Linked DNA regions of Notamacropus eugenii. The protein of the gene in region 2 interacts with the protein of the main gene of each other region in a pairwise test. Links are inferred from orthologs where the notes say so. Each region holds a gene or a part of one and is shown on either strand. Other genes may lie near its edges.

Evidence for each region.
Region 1: the proteins of SH3GL1 (region 2) and MTA1 interact in binary tests that used the Homo sapiens proteins (3 or more experiments, as listed by UniProt). The two-hybrid records come from large-scale screens. The link is inferred for Notamacropus eugenii from reciprocal best matches to the Homo sapiens genes SH3GL1 and MTA1.

What each region holds. Positions count from the first base shown.
Region 1 is NC_092872.1:324,142,596-324,150,395, forward strand, and holds the start of MTA1 (metastasis-associated protein MTA1), read right to left. Parts: upstream 3,082-7,800; 5' UTR 3,004-3,081; intron 2,893-3,003; exon of another isoform or gene 2,684-2,892; 5' UTR 2,539-2,683; coding exon 2,511-2,538; intron 2,334-2,510; exon of another isoform or gene 1,836-2,333; coding exon of another isoform or gene 1,829-1,835; intron 1-1,828. UniProt on the Homo sapiens protein: Transcriptional coregulator which can act as both a transcriptional corepressor and coactivator. Acts as a component of the histone deacetylase NuRD complex which participates in the remodeling of chromatin.
Region 2 is NC_092875.1:71,633,782-71,641,436, forward strand, and holds the start of SH3GL1 (endophilin-A2), read right to left. Parts: upstream 3,029-7,655; 5' UTR 2,811-3,028; coding exon 2,766-2,810; intron 1-2,765. UniProt on the Homo sapiens protein: Implicated in endocytosis. May recruit other proteins to membranes with high curvature.

The DNA of each region.
Region 1 (7,800 bases), on a different chromosome or scaffold from region 2:
AAGCACCTTTAGGAACATCCAGTTATGAGATATGATGTGATGAGCAGAGCAGTCAGACAAGCAGAGGGGAACCAAGAGACTGGAGTGTCACAAAAAGCTTAAAGACAGAATACCCAGGGGGAAAGGGTGATAAGCAGTGTCAACAGGCGGGTTGAGAAGAATTAAGACTGAGAAAAAACATCAAAAATTGGACAATTAAGAAGTCACAGATACGGCTGTTTAACTTGAATGAGGAGGCTGGAAGGCTGATTATTAAGAGTAGAGGAAGAGGAGAAAAGAAACAAAGTGTAAATGTCAAGTGTTTTAGAAAGCTTTTCTGAGTTTGAAGTTCAAATTTCTACCCAAGTCAAAACTTGGTGAAGAAACAGAGCTGGGCAAAATAAGAACAAACTTGCTAGTACACCTTGCTATAGACACCCTCCACCTTTCCCCAAAATGTAGGCAGATGGAAGAGTTAAAAGGGCAGGCAACCTTTGAAGCCCAACCAGGATCTCTATGGCTAGCACCTCTAAACCATGCTCCTTTGGGCTTCCTTTGGAAACCCCAGGAAGCATGAAGTAAGTCAGGAAACTGGCACTGGAGGAGTATGAGTACTTTCCCCACCCCAACATTCAAGAGACCTTAGGATCTGCTATGTCCTGCTCCTACTAATGTCACTAAACAAGGCACCAGTGTCTATTTGCATCATAGTATTGTCACTCCAAAGTATTTCCAGTAATTCTGACCCAACACCTGAGCTTTTAAAGGCAAATCAAAGGGGAAGCAACTCATAAAAATTATTGCCAAAGGAAGACTACAGAAGACAAGTAGGGAAAAGGCCTATGTACATAGCAGAGTGCTGAATGAGAGAGAAGATATATATTAGCATAATCATTCTCCAAAAGTACATCATCAAAAATTTGGGACCAGTAAAAATATATCATAGGTGACAATTTAAACACCGTCTTTAAAGGTGACCCTAACTCACTACTCTTGGCAGTGACTGGAAATCTAAGCCAGAGGATTCCTTAACTTTCACAAAGTATGCTCTTTCAAGGTTACCACATCATCACCCCCATCCCTCCTCAGCAAACTACCCCTCCCCAAGCTAAAGCCACCAAGCACTATCCACTCCATCTAAACTCAACAAGATGTGCCGTTGGACCCTCATTTAGGAAGTAGCTCAGTATACTAAGTATACTTAGAAATTCTAAGTATACTTAGAAATCACTTTTAAGGAAAATCTCCAAGCTTCCAAGGTAGTCTAAATATCAGCTAAATGTTTCAGGAGTAGTTGAAATATTCTCAAATGGGCAATAAGCAATCCTAAAGTTCCCCATTAACCTAATGGGCAATCCTGTCATGCACCCTCTCTACCACAAACAAGACAAAAACGTAAGAACTCCCTCTGTTCCTCAATACACCTTCCCAGATAGACCTTACCACCCTTCCCAGCTTCACTGCAAGAAAATGATTCTAATAGAACCTATTCCTGAAAAAAAGGACACCTTTCCCTCCAAAAAAATTCCAACACCAACTGCCCCCATCACTAAAACTAAAGAATCCATTCCCTCGATGCATTTTGCTCCTACCAAAAGGTTCCCCAAAGGCCAAAATCCAAAAGAAGAGCTGTAGTAGTGCTGTCCCCATAGTAGATCCCATTCTTTTTGCTACCTAGGTCGCCCTACACCTCCCTTTCATCACAAAGTGAAACTCAGATCATCACAAAGCACCCTATACACATATTTCTAAAAACAAAAACAAAACACACACACAAACCCAGAAGCACCACTCCCCCACCACCTCCACTCCCCACCCCCCCTCCAGCCCATGCCTGCCACTTTCTTACCTTTCATATGCCAACAATTCTAGCCCCACCTTTAGCTCCGAACTTTGGCAGGTATCAAATATCCCCCATTCTGGCTCCCCGCCCCCCCAATAATATTCATAAAACTGTAAGAAAGACGAGCTCATTCCGAAAACAAGATACAGATGACCAGGGGGCATCCACAGCTTCACTCTAACCACCCGGAGTCACTCACTGACTCTCCCTCCCCCAGGCCCAACATTCTCAACAGCCAGTCCGAATGTTCGCCCCCCGGGGGGTGGGGAGATGGAGGGGCCCGGGAAGGACAGAGGCCCTCCGGATGGAGGGAGAGGTGGCTAAGATGGGAGCCGGACGGCCTGGAATGGGGGATGAGGTTCAGACCCGGCACAGGAGGCGGGATGGGGCAGCGATGGCTGGGGCCCAGGGCGGAGGGGAGGAGGATCTGGGCGCTGGCCGTGAAGGCCCGGCGGGGCCACACGGGAAAGGAGGCGAATGGAATCCAGGCCGGGCGAGCGGCCGGGGGGAGGGGAGGAGCGGGGAGCAGCAAAACCTGGGGCTGGGACGAGTGGAACGCGGGGGAGGCCCAGGGCAGGTCGGGGCTGGCCTGGCTAGAGGACGCGCTGGGTCGGGAGCCGATTCGGGCTCTGCCCGAAGCTGGGCGGGAGGCCGCGGGGCGGCAGGGGCAACGAGGAGGGGGGCTCACCTCCGACCCTGTACATGTTGGCGGCCATGTCGGGCTCCGGCTCGGGCTCCGGCTTTGGGGGCGCAGCGCGGCACACGGGGGGCTCAGAGGCCTGGCCTGGCCTGGCCTGGCCCGGGCCCGACGCTCGGGGTTCGCAGGGTGGCGCGGCGGCTCCTCCAGGTGGGGGAAATGTGCTGGAAAATGGAGGATCGATCGGCTGGGGTGGGGGCGGGGGCGGACGCTTTAAAGGGGCCGCGCTTGGTCCACCCGGCGCTGCCGCCGCCACCGCCGCCGCCCGAGGCCAATGGGGAGGGGGAGGCCCTAGAGACCCATGGGAGTGGGCTGGTCGGCTCCCGGCAGCTCCTCACCCTTCTGCTTGTCCACTCCCCACAAACTGTCCCCTTCCTCCCTCCTCAGTCTTCTTCCTGCCCCTCCCTCCTCGTCTCCCCTACCCTCTTCCCGGCCTCCCTGGCCTCTCTTCTCTCTACCGCCTCTCTCCCCTCCCTTCCCCTACCTTCCTCTCTTCTCTTCTCTCCTCCACCTCTCTCTGTGTGTCTCTCTGGGTCTCTCGCTCTCTCGCTCTCTGCCTTCTCTTTTCTCTCCTTCCTTTTCCCCCCTAAACAGGCAGGCACAAAGAAAGCAACCACAACTCCACCTACCTGGCCAAAGGCTGGGGCCTCCTGTGTGCCCCCGCCTGTGCCAAGTCTGTGGCTGGGGTCTCTCCTGCAGGCAGGAGAGCTCTACTTTCCAGGCAGAAAGGAAAGGATAGACCGAACCAGGCCAAGTGTGCATGGCCTCTCAAAATTCATTCATTCATTGGACAAAATTCTGTGTGCTGGGTGCAAGGCCCTGTGCTGGGGCTGAGGTAGACAAAGATGGAAAAAAAACAAAAAGGGCCCTGACCTCGCAGAGCTCAGCTTAATGAAGCATGAATAAGACCAGATATAATACTGTACCAAGAGAGAATCTAATCAAGGCTTTAAGAGAGGAACACATTCCCAATGCACAAAGCAGGATTCATTGTCATATTAGCAACTAATATGTCAGAGAAAGAAAGGAAAAAATAGAATCCCTTTAGCCAGCCTAATTCATTCCAAAGAGTAAGGAGGTTTAGGTTTCACCTTAAGCTTAGGTTAGTGACCACCCACTCTCCCTTTCCTCTAAGAATGATTCAGGAGGAACATTTGTTTAAGAAGGAAAATATCTTTGTAATTCATAGCTTATGACTCATGATCTTAGAGGTGAAAAGGACCTTTTTAGATGTACGATTCTCTCTGGGACAGAAACAGAAATCCCCTCTGAAATGCCCCTGGTAGGTGATGATCCTCTCAAAGACCTCTCGTTAGTGGATAAGAATTTATGAAGCTCCAATGTCAAGCACTGCAGTAAGCACTGCAAATACAAAGAAAGACCAAAAGATAGACACAGCCCTCCGAGAGCTCACAAGTTAATGTGAGAGACAACAAGCAAATGTATACAAACAAGATATATACAGGTAGGAAATAAGTAACAAATGGAAGGCACTAGAGTTAAGAGGAATTGGGAAAGGCTTCCCGTAGAAGATGGAATTTTAATGAGACTTGAAGGAAGCTAGGAAAGTCAGAGGCAGAGATGAGGAGGTAGAGAATTTCCAGGCATGGAGAACAGCTAAAGAAAATGCCTAGAGCTGAGAAATAGAGTATCTTGTTTGGAGTGTCTTGTTCATGGAAAAGCAAAAAAGCCAATATCACAAATTGAAGAGTAAGTGTAAAGTATAAGTCTAAAGTATAAGAAGACTGGGAAGGTGGGAAAAAAGGGGGTAGGTTGTGAAGGACTTTGAACACCAAATAATTTCATATTTGATCCTGGAGGTGATAGGGAAGCACTGGAGTTTTTTGAATGGGGGGTGGTGGGGAAGGGTGATATGGTTGGACCTTTACTTTAGAAAAATCACTTTTTCCTCTGAATGTAGAAAGGGCCTAAATGGGAATGCCTTTTGCCAGGCAGACCCATCAGCAGTTTATTGGAAAAGTCCAAATGTGGGGTCATGAGGGCCTGTACCTGGGTGGTGGCAATCTCAGAGAAGATAAGAGGATAAAAGGTACAATGGACAGGTCTTGGCAACAGATTGGTTATAGATTGTGAGAGACAGTAAGGAGTGGAGGATAGCTTCTAGATTGCTGCAAGCCTAAGTCACTGGGAGGATGGTAGTCATAGGGCAGTATTAGGGAACAATAATAGAGAAGAGGTATTGGGATAAGGGAAGAGTTTAGAGGGAAAGCTATGAGTTCTGTTTTGGATATGATGCATTTAAGATGTCTGCTTGACATTCAGTTTGAGATGTTTGAAAGGCATTTGAATATTCAAATATTCTAGAGGTCAGAGTTGGATACCTATCTGATGAGAGAATCATCAACATAGAGATGATAACTAAATCCACATGAGCTGATGAGACCACCAAGCGAAGTAGTATAAAGAGAGAAAAGAGGATCCAGGATGTTTCGCTATGGGAAACCTACAATTAGAGGGTATGATTTAGATAAGAGTTTCAGCAAAGAAGGCTGAGAAGGAGCAGTCAGAAAGGTAGGAGGAGAAGAACCAGGAGAAAATTGTGTCCCAAAAAACTAGAGAGAAGATAAATCAAGGAAAAGAGGGTGATTGATAGTGTCAAAGGTTTCAGAGAGGTAAAGAATATATATTTAGAAAAGATCAGTAGATTTAGCAATGAGGAGATCTCTGGTGAATATGAGATTGGAAGCCAGATTGTAGGGGATTAAGAGAAAGGTAAGAGGAGAAAAGTGAAGGCACCCATTGCAGATGATTTTCTCAATGAGTTTAGACACAAAGGGTAGGAAAATACAGGATGATATCTAGTAGGGATAGAAGGATCAAGTGAGGTCTTTTTGAAGATGATGGAGACATGAGCACATTTGTAATCAGTAGGGAAGGAACCAACTGACAAGGAAACACTGAAGATAAATGAAAGAGTAGGGATGAGAGAACTGGCAGTCTTTTGGAGAAGACAGGATGGAATGGGATTAGAGGGACACCTTTTTTTAAGACAGATGAAGGAAGATATAGTGACAGAAGGCATGTATAGAAGATGAAAGAAAGGAGAGAAATAGTTCATGATGAATGGCTTCAATTTTTTCTATAAAATATGTATCCAATGCAGTAGATAGGTCAAAAGGGATATGGATTGAAAAAAGAACATTATTGCATTCACTGGTAACTTTGGAAAGAGAATTTCAGTGTAATGATTATATCAAAAGCCAAATAATAAAGAGTTGAAAAATTAATCAATTTGAGAAATGAGAAAGTGGAGGAAAAGAGTGTAAGAGTGTGAGAAAGGAAGGAGAGATAAAGAGTATTAGTTTGAGGAGATAGAAGGGTCTAGTGAAGGTTTCTAAAGATGGAAGAGACTTGGGTACGTTTGAAAACAATAGGAAATGAACAGATAGGGGAGTTTCTTAAGATTAAAAGAGAGAAAGAGGACTGTTGAAACTGAAAAATCTTCTAGAGAAAATGAAAGGGGATGCGTCTTATAGAAAGAATTGGCCTTAACAAGGAGAAAGACCACTTTATTGTTGAAGATTAGAGAAAAAGGAAAAGAGATGATACCAAGGTTTTGGGTTTTTTTAGAAAAAGAGAAGGTTTTAATGCTGAAAGGCCTCGATTTTCTTAGAAAAGTAAGAGGTAAAGTCTTCAGCTAAGAAAGAAGGAGGAGGGAAACATATGGGAAGCTTAAGGAGAATAAGAGAACTTGACAAAGCATGTGTAGAAAGTGAAGGAATCATTTAGGGAGGAATAAAAGGATTTCCTTGCTAATGTGAGGACCTGGTTGAAGTTGTATAACAATAGTTTATAATGTACCCTCTCATGAGATAAGCTAGAAGCCTTTCCAATAAGATTAGAGGTGAAGCAACAATTCCATTATTGTTATTATTTGACATTGTACTGAAAATACTAGCTATAGCAATAAGACAAGAAAAACTGAAAGACAGGCAAAGGAGCAGGACTACAACCAAGAATCACCTAACAGGCAAAATTAAACATAATAATATTTCAAGGGAAAAAATGGTCATTCAATGAAATAGAATTTCAAACTTTTATAAGGAGAAGACCAAAATTGAACCAAAAAAATGTGATCTACAATATCAAGACCCAAGAGAAACCTAGAAAAGGGAAAAGAAAACATAAGGGATTCAATAGAACTAAACTGTTTATATATCCCTACCTTGGAAGCTGATACTTGTAATTCATAAGAATTCTGTCACTACCCATCAATTGGGGAATGGCTGAACAAATTGTGGTATATGATTATGATGGAATACTATTGTGCTGTAATAAATGATGAGCAGGATGCTCTCAGAAAAACCAGGAAAGAGTTGCATGGACTGATGTTAAGTGAAATATGCAAAGTACAAAGTAACAGCAACATTGTAAGATGATCCGCTGTGAATGACTTAGCTATTCTCAGCATTACAATAATCCAAGACAACTCTGAAGGACTTATGAGGAAAATTCTATCCATCCCCAGAGAAAGAATTGAATACAGTTCTGAATACAGATTGAAGCATTTTAAATAATATAATCAACAAGTTAAAAAAAAAAAACTCTACCACTAATAGTAAAACTAGAAGGAATATATATAGAGGGCATGGGTATGAGGTGAATTTGAGGGAATGACAAAAAAAACTAAGGGATGGGAAAGAAGAATATACTGGGTGCAGAAGGAAGGGAGAGGTAGAATGGTAAATTGATTCACTTGAAGAGGCATGAAAGACTTATTACAGTGGAAGGGAAGATGGGAGAATGGGTGATAGGGATTACTTAAACCTTACTCCCATCAGAAGTGACTCAAAGAGGGAATAATATACATAATCAGTTGAATATAGAAATCTATTTTACCCAACAGGGAAAGGGAAGTTGGGAGGAAATCAAGTAAAAGGGGGAGAGTTGGGGACCAACAGAAGTGGGGGCAGATTGGGAGAGGCATAAACAGAAACAAAACACTGGTGAGAAGGGAAAGGGTGAGATGAAAGAGTACAAACAGGAGGAAAAATAAGATGGAGGGAAATTCACAGTAATCACAACCATGAATAGGAATGGGATGAACTCCCACAAAATGGAAGCTAACAGCAGAGGGAATAAAAAAACAGAATCCTACAATATCTTGTTTAAAAAAAAAGACACTTCAAGCAAAGAGATACACACAAGGTAAAGGTAAGGGGCTGAAGCAGAATCTAGCGTGCTTCAGCCAAAGTAAAGAAAAAAAAGGCAAGTGTGGTGATTCTGATCTCAGACAAAGCAAAAGTAAAGATAGACCTAA
Region 2 (7,655 bases):
CCCTCCCTTTAGGATTCCTTCCCAACTGCTTATGACCCAAAACAGAGCCTAAAGAACATTCAAAAAGTTTCAAAGCCAAAGATCATGGCAAGAGTGACTTCTCCTTTCTAAGACTAAACACATCTTCTACTTTGAAAATTCTCTCCCTCCTTTCATTGCATTCCAACTGACGGCCAGTTGGAGTCTTCTGTACTAACTCAAATCTCTGTCATGGTAAAAACCACAAGAATTATCAGTAAGTCACTTAGACTTGCTATTTAGGCTTGGGAATAACTTCATAAAAACACATACCTCTATTCGTTTCAAAATTACATTGCGGTACCACACCAGTGGAGGGCTCTCTGTTCCCCCTTGCCCTCAAAATGCATAAAGACCTTCTTTCAATTCTAGAGGTGCGACAAATACAAGAGGTCAGACAGATGGTAAGGGGAGCAAAAAGGGGAGCTGTTAGGCAGAACAGAGAGGAGCAAAATGGATGGTGATCAGACAGATGGCTGGTTATTTTACTGCTTTTCCTCTCCATCCTCTTGTTTTCATCTCAGAACAGCTCTAAAGAAGTTTCATTCCTTTAGCCTATAATGGCATTCCAGGAAAAAGACAGTTTACATTATAGGAAGCTAAAACGTCTTATAAACTCTCCAGTAGGGGCAAACATACCAAAGTTTAAATACATTTTTAACAGAACCTGAAAGGTTTGAATAGATAAATAGGGGCAGAATTTCTTGAGTTGGTTAATAGTGTAACTAATGAAAGTTTTTAATTAAAATCAGAATCTTAGTTCCCCAACCAAGCTTTTAGTGGCTTTTTAAAAAATATACAATTTTAAACTCTTCCAAATTCACCCAGCATCTCTTTTTCCAATTTAGAAATACTGAAATAAGTCTCCAAGTTCAAAATTCTTCTTCAAAAATACACAGGAAGAAGTTTCTCCTGGGAAACAGTTCATTTCCTCTGGGAGTGTGAAGGGGGATAAGAAAGGTGTTGATGTTTAGAATGAGAAAAACACACAAATAACGCAAACCGGTTATCAAGGAAATATAGTAGCAGACTCCAAAAATAATAGAAGTGACAGGTTTATGTACAAACATAAGTAAATTCTTAGGGCAATTGTTTGAAAGTACATCATTTAAGGTCTATGGATACTGGATTCTAAACAATCCAGTTGGACTTTATAGTTTTCTCAAGGCTGGAACCGTGAATGTAGACTCCTCTAAAATAAAATGTTAAGTCTGCCAACCTGAGAGACCCAAAGGGCATTCTCAGAAGAGGTACTTTATGTAGAAACCTTAACTCTAGGGGCTATTATGTCCTTTTCCCCAAAACCTATGTTGGGTGTTCCTTCTGTAAAAGAAAAGAACATCCCTATACCTCTTGTTGGCATTCCAGGACACTCCCACCATGTAAGGCCCTCCCTCACATAAAACAAAGTCAAGTGCAAGTCATGTCATTATTTCTCTGATGGCATGGTCTTCTTCGGCAAAGAAGAACGAACACATACCACATAAGGAATAACCATAAGTCCACCTATGCCTTCTTGAACGATGCCTCTTGGCCTCTGTGCCCCCACAGATCCCTTCTATCCTCTGAGAAAAGCAAGAGGCAGTGGATTGAAGTCAACACCCCAGAACAACCTCTGAACTGATTTCTCTTTCCCCCACCAGTGCTACCCAACCTTCCAGGGATCATGACCATGTGCCAAAATATCTGAAAAATTTATTCGACCTCATTTCTTTTTCAATAGGCTTTATTAATCCTTCTGGGGCAGTGGGCAATGTCTATGTATCAATGGGCAAACACTGGCTGCATTTTCTCCACTGCACAGACTCTCCATCCTCCCAAGGGAAAGAACAGTGCTGACCTCTCTCTGGACAATCTCTAGACCCACGCCACTTCTGTCTTCTTATCCATCCTCCCAAGAGCCTCCCTGGACAATCTAGGACCCAACTTCATTTTATTCTAAAGGTTTTCCCCATATTCCCAATAGCGCTGGCCTCTCTCTAGACAATCTCTAGACCTACGCCACTTCTGTCTTCTTATCCATCCTCCCAAGAGCCTCCCTGGACAATCTAGGACCCAACTTCATTTGATTCTAGAGGTTTTATCCATATTCTCAATAGTGTTGGCCTCTCTCTAGACAATCTCTAGACCAACGTCACTTCTCATGTTTTCTATCCATCCTTCCAAGGGCCTCCCTGGACAATCTAGGACTCAACTTCATTTTATTCTAAAGGTTTTCCCCATATTCCCAATAGCGCTGGCCTCTCTCTAGACAATCTCTAGACCTACGCCACTTCTCATGTTTTCTATCCATCCTTCCAAGAGCCTCCCTGGACAATCTAGGACCCAACTTCATTTTATTCTAGAGGTTTTATCCATATGCTCAGTAGTGTTGGCCTCCAAAAACAACTTCGGGACTGACGTGACTCCCCCCACCCCTCCAGAGCTCCCTTCATCCTCTAAGGGCATAGGCCATTGCAACCCCTAGACCAAAGTCACCTCTCTGCCAGCACAGGCTCTACCCATCCTGATACCACGATCCCGGGACAGGACTGGCCTTTCTGGACAATCCCTGCACCGCTGTCACTTCCCCCCCACCACATCTGGAGTGATGTCACTCTCCCCTCCCCCTCCCCCTTCCCCTCCGTCCTCCTGGGGTGGGGGCCGGGTTGGCCTCTCGGCACCCCCTCGGAAGCCCCCCCAGCCCCGGGGGCTCCCAGGCCGGGGCCCCGTCGGTCCGTCGGTCCGTCCGCCCCCGCGCCGCTCACCTGGCTCGCCTTGTAGAACTGCTTCTTGAGCCCGGCCACCGACATGCTGCCTCCCGCAGCCAGACCTCCCGGCCGGCCCCGACCCAGCTAGCGACGGACAAACGGCCCGGCGGCCAGACGGCTCCCGACGCTGCCCCCGGCCGAGCCCGCCTCAACCGCCTCCGCCTGCGCTCGGCGCCGCCTCAGCGCCCGCCCGTCCTGCCGTCCGCCCGCTGGCTCGCCGCTGGCTCGCGCTCGCTCTCAGGATATTACATGGCAACCGCACACTTCCGGTCCCGGCCCCTGCTCGCGCCCCCGGCTCCTCCTCCCCGCCCCCTCCCTTCTTCCTCTTCCTCTTCCTCTTCCTCTTCCCTCTCCCGAGCTCCCTCCGCCCACGCCGGGGGGAGGAATTTTCAACTCCAAGAGAAAAAGGGAGTCGGACCCTGGCAGCCCTCGCGCTCCCCCTGATGGCGGGGGTGGGCGTACGCAGCAGCGAGCCTAGAGGGGGAGGGGACGCGGCGAGGAGGGGAGGGGGTGGGGAGAGGCCGACAGACAGCCGACACCACCATAGAGAATGGCGAGGGCGGCCTAGAGGGGAGCCTCCAGCTGACAGCGCCCCCTGCAGGTGAAGCGTCACAGGACGCTTCTGCCCCGCCCCCCCAACACATCCCCAAGTCCACGAAGTAACTGCGGTGTATACACCGAAAGAGTTAAATTTTGTAGGGAGCTGGAATGGAGCCACAGCATCACCAAACCTCAGGACTGCAAGGGACTTCATCTAATGACCAACAGCTAGCAACAGCCCAGCCCTCCAGAGCTTCCAAAGTGCTGGACAGACCTTACCTCCCGTAAACCGCACTGCAACCCTGGGAAGCTGACTAGCCCCATTTTGGACAGGCTAAAGAACTGGGACCCAGAGAGGTTCAACAACTTGCCCGTAGTCACACAGAGGGCAAGTGCCAGAGACAAGATTTGAACTCAGGTCTTCCAGAGTCCTGGTCCAGCACTGGTCCACTCTGACACGCTCGTTCAACCTGTATCTGAGCAAGAGACCCCTCTAGGATACCCCCTCACAGGTGGTCATGCACCCACCGCTTGCAGACCTCCAGTAAAGCAAGGGCACTAAATAAAGAGGCGTCTTGCACTTTGGACTCTGGGTTAAGATTTCACCCCTCATGTGGGAGCTACCATGCCTCTGAAATCTTCCACTCATTGCTTCCAGCTTTGCTTCCAGTTCTACCCTTTAGGGTCCAACAGAATGTCTGACCCTTCTCCTCCCTCTGACAACCCCTCAGTTATCATGCTCCCTCAAAAATTCTCTCCAGATTAAACATCCCCACTTCTTTCAATCAGTCCTTGAATGTCCCAATCCCCGGGTGCCTTTATTATCCAGGCATACTCCTCTGAAATGTTTTTAATTTGTTAATGTCATTCTTAAGAGGCATAGTTTCAAGCTGAACTGGATACCACAAATACCATAGTCTGATCAGATCCAGTGAAACCTTCACCTTTCTTGTTCTGGACATCATGATCACATGGGCTTCTAAGAGCACATAAACTTTTGTGGGTGCCATATCCTACTCACATCATGTTGAATTTGTAGATTTTGCAAATCCTATCACACCATGTAAATAGCAGCTCATTACTGGAGAAGCAGTATGGCCTCTGAGTCAGTAAGACCTGAATTCAAGGTCTGGTTTTGTCATCTACTAGCTGGATGTTATCCTGGGCAAATCGCTTATCCTCTCAGTGCCCCAGCTGATTCTTTAAGACTATAACTGTAGTTACTCACATAGAGCAACAGTTTCTGATCTATATTGGAGGGAGTTTCCTCACTGGGAGTTCCCTACATTAATGAAACCACAGGTTCAGTAAAAAAAATTTATTTGTTCTCATCTTTAAAAAAATGTTTTTTGCATAATTGCACATGTATAACCTATATCAAATTGCTTACTGTCTCAGGAAAGGGAGAGGAGAGAGAAGGCATGAGAAAATTTCGGACTTTAAATTTTAAAAAAATGTTTAAAAATGTCTTTTCATGTAATTGGGGGAAAATATTATTAAAATAAGAAAACAAGAAAAAAATTAAAAATGATTATTGTTGTAATATCAGCTTCAATAACTTTCCAAGAGAGACTGGATACTTTTCCTGTCTCTTTAAGAGGAAGTAGAATCTTGGGGGGAAATGGTATAACTGTCATCTGGAATGAATTAACTGACATGGCTTAGAAAGATACTATGTGAGGCAAAGAGCAAAAGGAGTAGAAAAACATCTTTCTGAGAGATTCAGTGGATTAGCTATCAGAAAAAGAACCTGAAAAAACATTAAGAGAACTGAGTTTAACTCTTGTTCTACGGAGAATACTTCCTGAGAAGAGATTTCATCTGCCATGTTGAAAGAATGGAACTATAGAACGATATTTCCGGTGTCCATTGAGAAATCAGCAGTTGCAAATCAATAGTTAAAAATGACTAGGAATGTATTCTTTCTCATGGTTGATATGCTGCTCAAACATCTAAATATATCTTTGAATTGGGTGTTACAATGTTAATAAATTGTATAGTCAGTAACACCGATGTTTGCCTAAGCCTATGAAACTTAGTTTGCTATTAAGAGAGAGAAATGAGTGAAAGTTTTTGGGTTTTTTGGCTTATTTGTAAACTGGATGTGGAGGCTCAGGCTAATTGATTAATTGGTGAGATTGTGCAATCCTATTAATTTATGAGGAAATATAAGAATATATCCTTGATCGACTTAGAACCTTGGTAGAAATTGAATAAGGAAATGAGATAATAGTAATCAGAGAAAAATAAGGGTTGTTGTAGTTATCACCTAGCTCAGTACACAGCTCACCCAACCCATCAAGGCTACATGTGAGGTCACACTAAACCCTGTTTCTTTTATTTTTTGCCTTTCTTTGTGTCTCCAGCACTTATCACAATGCATTTCACATAGTACTTGTTTAATAAATGCTTGTTGATTGACTGGCATTATTATTAATCACCTCATTCTCATATTTTTTGTAGAGTTCAAATCAAAATGGACCTAGAACAAATCACTATCTTATTATTCTCTTATATTTAATGTTGTACAGACCGTTGCATGGAAGGGTAAATACATTTTTCTAATTAAATAACATTATAGGAATGTTATTCTTCCAACAGTATCAGAATATAAGCTCATCTTCGGCTAGCTCATTGAAAACATAGAGAATATGTTGGCTTAAAAAAAACATAAGGAAAGGAATAAGCATTTTATTAATTTCCTACTATATACTAGGTATTTTGCTAAGCATTTTACAAATATTATCTTATGTGATCCTCACAGCAACCCTGGAAGGTAGGTGCTATTATTATTCCCTTTTTACAGTTGAGGGACCTGCTCAGAATTACATAGCTAGTAAGCGTCTGAGGATGGATTTGAACTCAGGTCTTTCTAGTTCTAGCAGTATATAGGACAAGGAGGATTATATGTACCTCATCCTGTTCCCACATGGTTTTAATTTCAACTACATCTGTTCTGAAAGCTTTTCATTCCACATAGTTTGAATATTATGAGCATTTTTTGGTAAATATATTAATAATATTCTTAACTTTTTATGGATTAATGTTATATCTAGGTAATTGTGAGCAACAGTTTTGTCAGGGATGGTGCTGTGGTTCCAGTACAGCTTACCCATCAAATGATAAAGTATACTTTGAGGCACTATATAGTACAATGGGTAAAGCACTGCACTTGGAGTCAGAAAAATCTGGGTTTGAGTACCATCTTAGATACTGGTATCCAGGGTGAGTGAACCTGGACAAATCAATCAACATCTCTGAGTATCTCAGTTTCCACATCAGTAAAATAGGTACAATAATAGCACCTACCTCACAGTGTTGCTATGAATATCAAATTAAATAATATAATAAATATAATAAAGCACCTTGAGAAGTCAGTGGTGTGTTGGTAAATATTTAACAACCAGCTTTCTGAAGGGAAAAATTACCTTCACCACATAATTTTAAGTTTAATTTCTAGTATATTAATATTTCCTGCATCACCTTCTTAAATCTAGTCAAACATCAAAACAATAAATCAAGCCCTGATTTGTCGTGTTTGCAGGTTTCCAAGGTATAAATGCTCATCCAAAATTTAACAATTGGCTCTCCTGAGCAAACTGGTTCCAACTCATTTCTGCTTAAAGCACTATCTAAATGTTAGCTATTATTACTATTAATCATCTATCGGTCTTTGAAAGATAGCGAGCTTATGATATATAATTCTAGACATCAAGTTGTGTTTTGCTAGGTGTTTGATAGAGGCTAAATTTTTTCAACTTGTAGTAATGCATTGCATAGTTTCTAAATTTTTTTTTTTTTGCATAATTTGCATTCATCTATAAGTTCAGGCTCCTTAAGAAAAACCTTTCTATAATTTCTGTTGCCAATGACTTGGTCCTGAATTGGTATCATAAGCTACTCCATTTCCATAAATAAATTCACATCACTCAATCAGCAGTTCAATGAGTCTTTGTCCACATACTGTTGGCTGAGTTTATATGTAAGTCGCCCATGGAGGGCCTATTGATTCCGGTCTTGGGTCTTGGCCATTTCACAGGGTCCATCTGGAGGAAAACCAATTTTGGTTACATTCAACAAATCCAGTGATCTTTACCTATTGTTAGCCTTCATTATTACTCAGTCAAGAGATGTTTGTTTACTCCAAAAATATTTCTCTAAGTTTTTGTACTATTTTGTCATACTCTACAAACATGTACCAATCATCTTTCTTCTTTTTGATGAAGTATTAATATTTTCATAGTCGCGTTAAGGTGATGGCCTCTGCGTTTCCTTAATATCGTATATATTCTTGTCAAAATATTTTCCAAATCTGTTTTTACCCATATTAGCTCCCAAAGTGTTAAA